3 linked regions of the Tamandua tetradactyla genome follow. The protein of the gene in region 2 interacts with the protein of the main gene of each other region in a pairwise test. Links are inferred from orthologs where the notes say so. Each region holds a gene or a part of one and is shown on either strand. Other genes may lie near its edges. The genes, in order: PKN1, HOMER3 and EAF1.

Region 1 (3,746 bases), about 7.4 Mb from region 2:
GGAAGCAGTGTCCTCAAGGCCCTGGCCACTGCCCTGGGCAATCCCTGCCCCTGGCAGCCACGTGATGGCTTTCCCTGGGGAGCTCTGGGAGCCCTTTGCATGGGCAGGACAAGCTCTGGGACAGCAAGTTCCTCAGGTCACCACCACAGAGCCTGGGCCAGACATCTGACACCAGTGTGTGCATGACGGCCACTGGGCTTCCTCTAGGACCCTGTCCAGGGCCCACCAAAGGGGCAAGATGAGAGGTGGGGGAGGGGCGATGGCCTGTGTTACGATGTGCCTTTTACCACAACGAAAAATCTCCGTGATGGTCCTTCTGACATCACCCCCCCGCCCCCCCAACACAAACACACTCCTCATATGCCCCTAGGAGCTACCTGCATCCCGATCCTGTCTCCAAGTATGCATACAGGTGTGTGTGTGTAGGAAGTATGTTAATAGGGGGCATGTGTGCACACACAGGTAAATGTGTACAGGTATATGTGTGCATGTAGGGTGAGTGCACACCTATGTATGGAATGTGTGTGTAAGATTGTACACGTACGTGTGGGTGGGTGCGTATGTGCATGCATGGCCCCCACCTTGGTGCTGCCGTTGCTGTACGTCTGGATCATGTTTTCGGCCCCCTGCTTCACCTTCAGCTCGATGGCCAGCTGCTTCTCCAGGCCAGCCACACGGCTCAGATTGGTGGCCGAGCAGGCCGAGCCACACGCTCCGGGGGACTGGGGTGCATCTGGAGGGGGCGGGAAAGAGCACGTCACTATGGCCCCCAGCACCAGCGGACAGGCCGGTAGGGGACACCCGGGCCCAGAAACTTCTAGCCACCCCCAGCCACCCCAGGAATATCCCCCCACCCCTCTTCAGTGGCATGACCCAACATAAGTGAGCACAGGCAGGTGGTGTAAGTTCCTGGACATTGGTGCAAGCATGTGTGGGAATCCCCAACTATTTATTCAGGTGTCTGAGTCCTTAGAGGTTAATGCAACTGAGTGTGAGTGACTGTGGGTGTGAGGAGGTCTGTGTGTCTCCCGCCTGCTATGTGTGTAACTGGGAGATGTCAGGTGATGGAACGATCGTGAGATGCCAGGTACTGAGGTGGCCCTATGCATACGTTTCCATTCATACAGCTACGAACTGGGACCCCTGGGTGCTGTGTGAGTCTGCGTGGGAATCTTTGGGTGTTGGTACAGCTGGGCATGTGTGTCTCTGGGTGCTGTCCAGGTGTTGGTGGGACTGTGAGAGAGTCTTCTGGCATTTTCTGGGTGTTGGTATTGACTGTGGGTGAGTCTCAGGGTATTGGTGTGACTGCAGATTGCAGTGTTTGCTATGACTGTATTAAAAGACTTGGTGTTGCCAAGACCACGTGTCCCTTTGGGGTCTTTGGAGCCAGTGTTGCCTGTCTGGGTGTTGATATGACTGCGTGTATGTAGCCAGTGGTGCATGTCTGCCTGTTGGTGCGACTGTGTGTATGTAGCCAGTGGTACATGTCTGGGAGTGGGTGTGACCACGTATATCTCTCTGGAGGTCAGCAGTCGATACTGTGTCTCTTGCTGTTGTGTGACTCTGTGGATAGCTGGGGGTGCATGGCTGCCTGTTGGTGGGACTGCATGTGTACAGCTGGGGGTGTGTGTCTGCCTGTTGGTGGGACTGCATATACAGCTGGGGGTGCGTGTCTGCCTGCTGGTGTGACTGCATGTGTACAGCTGGGGGTGCATGTCTGCCTGTTGGTGTGACTGTGTATACAGCTAGTGGTGCGTGTCTGCCTGTCGGTGCATATCTGCCTGTTGGTATGACTGCATATGCACAGCTGGGGGTGCATGTCTGCCTGTTGGTGTGACTGCATGTGTACAGTTGGTGGTGCATGTCTCTCAGCAGCTGGTACTGTACGCCCGGGCCCAGCGGTGGAGGTGGCATGCGTGCCCCACGCCCCCCGGGCCTCCTAGCTCACCATGGGCGGTGGCCACAGGGTCGGGCAGCACCACGTGGGCATGTAGCTCCTGCAGCTGCTGGTGCAGCAGCTCGAGGCGGCGTGATGAGCCACGCAGCAGCACCTCCACGGGCCCCAGGCTGCGGCCCAGGTCGGTGGTGGCGCGACGCAGGTTCTCCGCGCCTTCCTTCAGCTTCAGCTCCTTGCGTATCTCCCGCCGTAGCCGCTCCCGCTCTAGCTCCAGCTGCTGCTGCACCCCGGGGGCCGCCAGGTCCGCACCCGCCAGGCCCAGCTGCTCCAGCAGGGACCAGCTGCGCGGCTCACTCTGCAGGTGACAGGGCAGGGTCAGAGGAGCCAGGAAGGTTCCCCCCACATCAGGACTCCCAAAAACAAGAGCCTGACCTGCTCTTCAGAGACCCCAAAACTGGCAAGGCCCTGGCCCCCCAGACTAGAGGACCCCCCAGAGACAGCACTGCTTCCTTTTGTCTGTCCTTCAGGCAGTGGACTCCAGAGGGAGGCTCCAGCACCCCAGTGCTGAGCCCCCAAAGGAGCAGGGGCCTAGGGCAGGTCTATCTCCCCTCAGCTGTCTCCCCAAACTAGGAGACGCTAAGGGTAGGCCCTGTGCCCCCTCTCTGTCCCCCCAAAACTAGTAGGTGCTGAGAGCAGGCCCTGCTTCCCCCCCAGCTCCCCCGACCTCTACAATTAGGACCCTAAAGAACAGAGTAGATCTCCTTCCTCCCACGTCTCCCCACTGGGGGAGTCCCAAAGATCCCCAAATCTCTTCTTCCTCCAAAATGAAGACTCTGCAGCCCCCGTCTTATCTCCTCTCCTCTGTCCAAAACTTGGACGTATGGCGGCCAGAGCCCGTCTCCCACCCACCCAGTCCTGTCCCGCTAGTCCCCACAGGGACCCCAGCCCCACCTCCAGCTCTTGGTGGGAAGGGGGTTCAGCCTCCGCCATCCCGGGTCCGAGGTGAGGGCCCCGCCCTCTTCCTGAGCCTCCGCCCTGCCGGGGCCTCTCGCCCGCCACTTCCTCTTTCCTGCCAGCTCCCGGCAGCCCCCACGGCCAGCCCGGGCACCAGGGCATCTCGGGGACCTTCCTTATAACCCCTCCTCCAGGACAAGCCTGCTTCCCCGAGGCACCCTGGTGGGTATGCTCCCATGCCACTGGCATGTATGTGACAAATAGGCATCCGTGAGCATGCACATGCTCCCAAGGCTTGGGTGGCTGCCTGTTCTCACGTACCAGTAGACAAGTACACAAAACACAAGCTCACGCACGTGAACGCAGACTCACAAGTGCATGTACACTCTCCCATCTATGGGTGTGCACACGGAATACAGATTCACTTATGTGTGTACACTCCTGAATCTACAGGTGTGTGCAAGGAACGCAAACTCAGGCATGTGTGCACACTCTCACTTCCACAAGTGTGCACACTCCCACAGCTATAGATATGCATATGGGACAATGATTTCAGGTGTGTGCACATTCCCTCGCCCACGCATGTGTATACTTCTATGCATGTGCCTGAGAATATTTACATGCCCCCCCAAACTTTGTACAATACACGTTCCCACCTGCCCACGTGGGTGCCACACACACACTACACACACACACATACCCACACGCTCTCCGAGGCCCCCATGGCCTCCCCATGCTCCCACGGGCCTTCAGCTCTGCTGATACCTGCGTGTGTCCCTACAGCCAGATGCTTCTGCCCGCCCCTTGTCCCTGACTTCCCCTTTGGGGTCAGGACAGCGAGTGCTACAGAGACCAGGCCCCCTTCCTGCAGGCTGAGGCTGCCCTGACTTCCTGC
Region 2 (3,746 bases):
ACTTATTTTATTTATTAGGGAGAGTTGTGTGAGCATCCTTGGTTAGTTGTTGCAGCCTCTGCATCTCCTCTGGTGTTTCACTTTGGTCATCAGATGGGGCTGCATCTGTCTGCACTGTGATATGCTTGGTGGTCTTTGGCTGTCCCCGTTGCATGTAGATGTCTTGACTGATATACTCTGGGGGTTGATTTTTCAGGAGTCTAAGGCCCTGTGTGTGCAGGACAGCTGCACAGCAGGGAGCAGGGCGCAGGTGGCGCCCTCAGTGCAGGGATCTGTTTCAGGGAAGGTGTGGGAGCAGGCTGGGGACGTTACACCAATGCCTGTGAACACGGCGCCCAGCACCCAGGAAGGATGGAGCTGGGCGGGTGCCCGGGTCTGGGGGCATAACCCTGGTGGGCGCGGGTCCCCTTGTGCGCATGCGGAGAGCTGCAGCCGCAGGTCAGGCCTTCATGGATTGGGGGCAGCTGTGACCCGCTGGACAGGTCGGCCCTTTCTCAAGAGTTGTGTGAGGCGGAGTGCCGTGCGCATGCGCGGTTCTAGGCCTGTGTACCGTGTGTCTCCCAGAAATGAGTGACGTGATGCGGGCTGTGCGCATGTGCAATTGTAGGACCCGCGTAGAGTGCGGTTCCCGGAGCTGTGACGTGAAGCGGCCCGTGCGCATGCGCGGGTCTGGGAGCGCCGCGAACGGCCGCGCCAAGCTCAGGGTGGGTGAATGAGGCTGGAACTCTGTGGGGGGTGGGGGGTGGGGGGGGGGGGGCCTAGGTGGGGGTCAGAGCCCAGCCTTTATGCGCTGGCGTCAGCCTGCAGCGCACAAGGAGGGGAGGGAGGGGAGGCAGGGTCGGAGGGTGCAGGAGAGACTGGCTGGGCTGCGCTGGGGGTGGTGGGGTGGAGGCGCCTGGAGCACGGGGAATGGGGGCGGGTGAGGGGGTGCGGGTGCGTGGGGGGTGGGGGGTGGTCCCGGGTCTGTGCCGGTGAGGGTGGCGCCCAGGGAACGCGGCCCGGCCGACCTCCTGGTCCTGGCTCCCGTGCGGCCCCTCCCGCGGCTCCGTGCCGGCCCGGCCTCCTGCCCCCCAGCCCCCCGGCCTCCTGCCCCCCAGCCCCCCGGCCTCCTACCCCCCAGCCCCCCGGCCTCCTGCCCCCCCAGCCCCCCGGCCTCCTGCCCTCCAGCCCCCTGGCCTCCTGCCCCCCAGCCCCCCGGCCTCCTGCCCCCCCAGCCCCCCGTCCTCCTGCCCCCCAGCCCCCCGGCTTCCTGCCCCCCCAAGCCCCCCGGCCTCCTGCCCTCCAGCCCCCCGGCCTCCTGCCCCCCAGCCCCCCGGCCTCCTGCCCCCCCAAGCCCCCCGGCCTCCTGCCCTCCAGCCCCCCGGCCTCCTGCCCCCCCAGCCCCTCGGCCTCCTGCCCCCCCAGCCCCTCGGCCTCCGCAGCCAGGGCTGCCGCCCCAGGGCAGCCGCCCTCTGGAATTGCCACCTCAGTCATCCTTCTGTCCCTTCTCGACCTTTTCCCTGGAGCAGGGCTGACCTTGAGCCACTCTAGTGGGCCATGCTCCCATTTATTCACCTATCATTTTACTTCTCTAGCGTGGCTCCCTGACATGGAACGTGGTGTCCTGTTTTGTTTTCCCGCACACACGCGTGTGAACGAACGGGTTCTCTCCCTACAGCGGCTCGTCAGGAGGCATCCTCAGTTCCGGGACTGTGCAGGGATGCATCCATGCTGTCTTCTGGGGCCCTCCTGGGCGGCAGGAGGTAGAGACTGGATCTTAGAAAGGAGGGCTGCCCGGCACCCAGCTTTCCCCCATTGCCCGGAGACTGGGGCCGCTTGGCCAGGGTGGTGGTACTTGAGCTGAGGCGCAGGGGGCCTGGCCATGGGCTCAGGTTGGGGCAGAGCAGCCTGTGCAAAGGCCCTGAAGTGGGGTGGCTTCTCCCATGCGGGGGTGCTCAGGAAAGCCGGTATTGCTGGGCAGGGGAACAAGGGGAGTGAGCAGGCTGCCGAGGGCTGCAGAGCTCACGGCAGGAACCCCAAAGCTTGGGTACTACATGTCCATGGGTGGGGGTATGTGTGGATGGGGGGGGTGCATGGTAGGGGTGGGTGGATGATGGCTGGCTGAGTGGAAGAGTGGGTGGATGTGTGAATAGGGGGGAGGGCGGATTATTGGATGGACAGATGGGTGGATGGGTGGGGGGTGAGTTGGGTGGACCAAGGAGCCAGGGAGTGACAAGGTGGGGTTTGTTCCTCAACCCCAGTACCCCCTAACTCCTCCTCTGCTGGCCCCCCAGAGAGGCCCGTCCAGAACTCCCAGCGGGGGCAGCTTCGGCACTGTCTGTCACAGCCCCCTCCCCAGTCGAGCCTCCCCCGAGGGCTGCCCAGGGCCTGTGCCCCCTACTTGGTGGCACCCCTGTTCCACAGCCAGGGTCTCCTGTGGCATAGGGACCCCCAGGAGCTGGGCGCCCCTTGGAGGAAGGCGTGGGGGCACAGTGAGGGCGCCTACCTGTCTCAGGGGCCATCCCTGGCTCAGCTCTGGGAGCCCCCCAGGAAGACGGGGTGGCCCACTGCTCCCCAAGCCCTGCACATTGGCTCGTACCCCACCCCGTTCCTCCCCCTCTAGGCCTGGTGCCTGGTTTGGGGTCACGTGCCCAATTGCCCAGGCCCCCTGAGAAAGACCAGGGCCCCCACACCCCTGAACAGGGTTTGAGAGGACCTACAGCTCCTCCTCTCCCCAGCTTGCTCCTTACCAGTGGAGGGCACCTCCAGAATGATAGGGACACCCCAAGAGCTCGGCCCAGGCTGGAAATGGAAGCTGGGGGATCCCCAGGTCATGAGGACGGGCTGGCCTTCCCCTTTCTGGCCTCCCTCCCCTTGGTCCCCTTTTCTTTAGGGTTTTGCTATAACACAGAATTGAAGAGCTCTGGGGAGCAGGGACCTCAGTTCCTGGAATTCTGCCAGCCTAGGTTCTGGGTTCCTCAAGATTTAGCAGGGATGCACAGGCCCCAGGCTGAGCCCACCCACGCAGTACCCTGCACTCCTTCTCTGGTGGTGGGCCCTCTGCTCCTGCCCCACCCCCAGCCTCGTTTTCCCCCCCAGGCCCAGGCCTGGCTGAAGCTCCCAGTCAAGTTTAGCAGGGGACCCTGCATCTCCCGTCGCCAAGCCATGGTCCTGGGCCTGAGCAGGGGTCTGTCAGCTGCCGGGAACCTCCTGGCGGAGCGCAAAGCAGTAGGATTTGAACCCAGGCCCTCCCCCCGGGCGTTTCCCCACACGTACGGCGCCTGAGGACTTCCTCCTCCCCCTTCCCTCGGGGCCCCTCCCTGGCGCTGGGGGCCTGTGATTTCCCTGGAAGCAGCTGTTTCCGTCCCACGCCAGGCTTGGAATTTCAGAGATAAAGGAGCAGGGCCCAGGGCCTCCGAGGGGAGGAAGGGCGGGGGGTGGAGGCCCGGGGGTGGGAGCCAGAGCTCAGGGCCCAGCGGAAGGACGATGTACCTTGCATGGAGCGTCTGAGCCAGCCCAGCTTTCACAGCCTCTGCAAAAAACCCAGGTTGGCGCCAAATCACACGCAGCAGCCAGAGACTCACCTCCAAGTGCCAACTCAGATCATGCCCCTGCCCTGCTCAGACGCCTCCTGTGGCTCCCCAGTTCTCTGAGCACACACCCCTCGCTGGGTCCAGCTCCCAGAGCCCCTCACCCTTGACTCTCCCTGCTCCGGCTGCTCGGGCCTCCTCGGTGCCTTTCCCTGGGACCCACCCCGTCCCCAGCCA
Region 3 (3,746 bases), on a different chromosome or scaffold from region 2:
CACCAGGGACTTCTAAAGAAAAAAGAATGCGAGTCTAGCTAATGATTCTAGAACAGTTCTTTAAGATGCTGCAACCAATTCATCAAACATTTACTAGATGCTCATTCTACAGAAAACTCTGCTACGAAAGGTCACAAAGAAGACCAAGATATACTTCTTGCCCTCAAACGGCTTACCATCCAGTGGCCAGGCCTGGCTTATGCACCGAACTCTAATTCAAGACAAAATGAGTCAATTTTTACAATAAATTTATATAGTTGTGAAAAAGGACACTCTCAAGATCTGAATACAAAACCTTGGGGGAAAATGCTCATCAATTTTCAGGGCCTGTGAAGGGAATAACTTAACAACAACGAAAGCTGAACAGGAGGCGGTGGTGGGTTGCCAGATAGAAGTAGGATCATCGTTTCCCAAGGTCTGCAGGATCAAGACTCCGTTTTGCTCGGTGACATCGAGATAAGCCCGGGTGGTCCGAGTCTCTAAGTCTCAGATCCCACTCACACGAGACTGTCGTACGAACCAGAGGGGGCGTCGTTTTTCAGAAACTGAAGCTCCCACACCCCTTCACGGCACGAAGGGGAAGAAGATACCCAGTTATGCGTAGCAGAGGGTCCTGAGTACACAGGTCTCCCAGGACATTCTGAATGAACTGAGCCCACTTGCGGACATCTAGGGCTGCAGAGAGCTGGCCATGTTAGCTATCCGACCCGGACTAATTTAGTCGTGCGCTCTAGGCCCACCCTCAGCATTTCTAGGTTCATCTGTTGACCCAGGGCCTGACACACTCACCCCTCAGCCAGCACCAGCGCTCGGAGGCGAACTTTAGGAGCCGCCACAGGAAAACCCGAGCTGGGTCAAGACAGACTTGCGGACCTCGATTTGGGATTCTAAGGCCGGAGTTATTTCGCCATGAAACCTCGCCCGCTACATCCGCCGCGAACCCTTAAGTCCCTCCCCGACACCGGAAATCCCTCAGTCTCGCTTCGTCCGAGTCTCCCCCTACCCCGACGCAGAGGCGGAAACTTCGTTCCAGTCACCGGTGGGGTCCGGCTCGGCTGTCGGTGCGCCCCGGAGCGGTGTTCAGTGAGCACCGCTCTCCCGGACCCCGGCGCCGGAAGCTCGCGCAGCTTTCCCAGCTCCCGCGCCTGGAGAGCGCCGAGCCGGGCGCACCGCCCGTACGGGGCCATGAACGGGACCGCGAACCCGCTGCTGGACCGCGAGGAGCACTGCCTACGGCTCGGGGAGAGCTTCGAAAAGCGACCGCGGGCCTCGTTCCACACCATTCGCTGTAAGTCAGTGTTTCCCAGGGTTACCTAACTAGCCTCAGCACCCCCTCTGGCTTCGCTTGGCTTCCCGAACCTTAGGGAAGCCCCTGCCGACTCCCATCGGCAGCTCCCGATCACTCTTACTCTGAATCCTCCGAGATATCGTCTTCTTTCCTTTTCTCAGGTCACTCCTCCCAAACCGAAGCTTTTGTCACTCCCAACAATTTTTCTCTTGATAGAACCTATTTTTCGAAGGTCATTGGTCCCTCTTTCTTTGCATCCCACCACCCTAATTCTTTAGCCCAGACTCCCCCCCGCCTTTTTATTCCCGAAAGGCTGTGACCCCCTACATCAGACCCCAGTTCTTCTCTAATTCCATCCCGCCTCCCACTTCCTGATGCTTCCACCAGGGTTCTCCACGTTTGAAGGACTCTTCACATTTGTTTATAAGCCTCATCCGCTTCCTCGCACGCCGTTCTCGTCCCCCTTCCCCCCCCCCCCCCCAGCTTTCTTTCCTGGTTTGTCTTGGTTCTAGCGATCCTGGCACTGCTCATCCTCACTTCACCAGCCAGAGGATACTCCTGTCCGCCATCAGCGTCCTCCTCCAGCTTTTCGCACCTCGTTTGACTTTGCTGTCTTTTGAGGTCACCTCTGCTACCCTTACTGTTCCTCTAGACCTCCCCCCCCGCCGTGTGGATGAAGAATAAAATTAGAGTTTGTGAACCTGGGATAGGTTAAAGCTTGGTGGTGGGAAAGCAAAAGAGAGCATAGGCGTAAGAAATGTCAAAGTAGTCATTATGCTGGGCCTTTTTTCCCTACATGATTATAGACTCTGTTGAGGGAGAGGCATTTCCACTCTATATCCTTGGGTAGAGAATTAGCTGTTAGAAATTGGCTGACAGAGCGTCCTGCTGTGATTCACAAGCTCCTGGCTGCCCATCCTGGTAGTGCTAACACTTGTTAAGTCTTGTTTTTGTCAGAGGAACTAATAGATGTGACTCAACATGTAGGAAGAGGGCGGGTTAGATAATGAAGTTCCGTCTTTGTATGGTCACTTGCTATGCCATTACTGTGCTTTCTGAGAGCAGATATAGCTCTTTCCGAGGAGAGATATCAAGAATGTGACAAGGACATCAGTTCCTGAACACTACTTGGTTGATGTTTCTGTGGAGTGAGAAGGACAATGTGAAATTTAAATGAGACGATTTCCTTATGCACCTGGCCACGTTTGGGGCAGGATATACTAACAAGGTGCAAGATGGCTATTCATGTTATACTTTGCATTCCAGAAATATGGGCAGGGTAACCTTTGGAGATACAGTTCAGCCATCTGCTCTGAACATCTGTGGGAGTATGTTTGTCAAAGCTATGGAATTTAAGTATGGCAAGTCCTAATTTTGACAATTCCTCTGCAAGATGAAGTCTGCTTGTATGATGCTGTGGCCATTCATGTTTTCTGTTGGGCTTTGCAGGCAGAGTCTTTTTGCTCTATTGCCTTTGATCCTCATAACAACCCTAATAAAACATCTTACTGTGGATACTGCAGCATTAATTTCCATCTGTTACTTAGGTGAAGGGAATTTCTTTGCTTAATAAAGTGGCATTTAAATTCTAGTTTTTTTCAAAATAGTCCAGTGGGAATAGGAGGAAAAGTATGTAAAGGCATAGGTGAAAAATGATTGTCCCTTGTTGATAATTATTGAAGCTGGTACATGGAGTTCATTGTACTCTTCTCTTTATTTTTAAATTATGTGAAGTTTTCCATAATGAAATAATCCTAAATATGTTCTAAAGTATTTGTATTTGCCATTTATCTGAATAATAAAACATTTTAATTCTTAAATAAGATGCTCTGGAAGCCCTTGTTAGCTGATGGATAAATGCTTTTTCCTTTCCCTTTAGATGATTTTAAGCCAGCATCTATAGACACTTCCTGTGAAGGAGAGCTCCAAGTTGGCAAAGGAGATGAAGTCACAATTACGCTGCCACATATCCCTGTAAGTTTATTCTATTGTTGGTTTTTTTGTAGGCTCACAATGAATTATGTTATTGTAATTTAAGTTTCCTACTGCTTAAAATACTTTAGATTATTTAAGTGTCAACACAAGGAATACAGGAATTTGGGGAATAGATTAGAATTCTTGCTTCCCAAGTGCTTGATTAAAAGTGATTCTTTGCCATTTTCCCCAGAGCTCCTCCTCCACCCCCAATTTAGATGTCATTCCTAAAACCTAGCCACTGTTTTAGACATGCACAACTTTACCCAAGCACCTTTGTAGAGAAGAGCCCTTGGTGCCATGCTGATATACAGCAGCAGCAGTTCAGGGGTGCATGGTATCTAAGCCAGGAGTCATGGCAGTCAGCAGTGAGGCTTTCATCTTTCACATGTCTAGCAGGGGTTCAAGTGCAGTCTGCGAGTCTCAGGCAGGAGCCAGAGGTTCGAAGCATTCCTCTGGCTTTGGAATAAGGAAACCATTAAAA

What was found.
Region 1: the proteins of HOMER3 (region 2) and PKN1 interact in binary tests that used the Homo sapiens proteins (3 or more experiments, as listed by UniProt). The two-hybrid records come from large-scale screens. The link is inferred for Tamandua tetradactyla from reciprocal best matches to the Homo sapiens genes HOMER3 and PKN1.
Region 3: the proteins of HOMER3 (region 2) and EAF1 interact in binary tests that used the Homo sapiens proteins (3 or more experiments, as listed by UniProt). The two-hybrid records come from large-scale screens. The link is inferred for Tamandua tetradactyla from reciprocal best matches to the Homo sapiens genes HOMER3 and EAF1.

What each region holds. Positions count from the first base shown.
Region 1 is NC_135337.1:88,509,971-88,513,716, forward strand, and holds the start of PKN1 (serine/threonine-protein kinase N1), read right to left. Parts: upstream 2,943-3,746; 5' UTR 2,888-2,942; coding exon 2,849-2,887; intron 2,253-2,848; coding exon 1,949-2,252; intron 734-1,948; coding exon 582-733; intron 1-581. UniProt on the Homo sapiens protein: PKC-related serine/threonine-protein kinase involved in various processes such as regulation of the intermediate filaments of the actin cytoskeleton, cell migration, tumor cell invasion and transcription regulation.
Region 2 is NC_135337.1:95,888,195-95,891,940, forward strand, and holds the start of HOMER3 (homer protein homolog 3), read left to right. Parts: upstream 1-1,441; 5' UTR 1,442-3,746. UniProt on the Homo sapiens protein: Postsynaptic density scaffolding protein. Binds and cross-links cytoplasmic regions of GRM1, GRM5, ITPR1, DNM3, RYR1, RYR2, SHANK1 and SHANK3.
Region 3 is NC_135341.1:73,241,000-73,244,745, reverse strand, and holds the start of EAF1 (ELL-associated factor 1), read left to right. Parts: upstream 1-1,033; 5' UTR 1,034-1,185; coding exon 1,186-1,288; intron 1,289-3,167; coding exon 3,168-3,262; intron 3,263-3,746. UniProt on the Homo sapiens protein: Acts as a transcriptional transactivator of ELL and ELL2 elongation activities.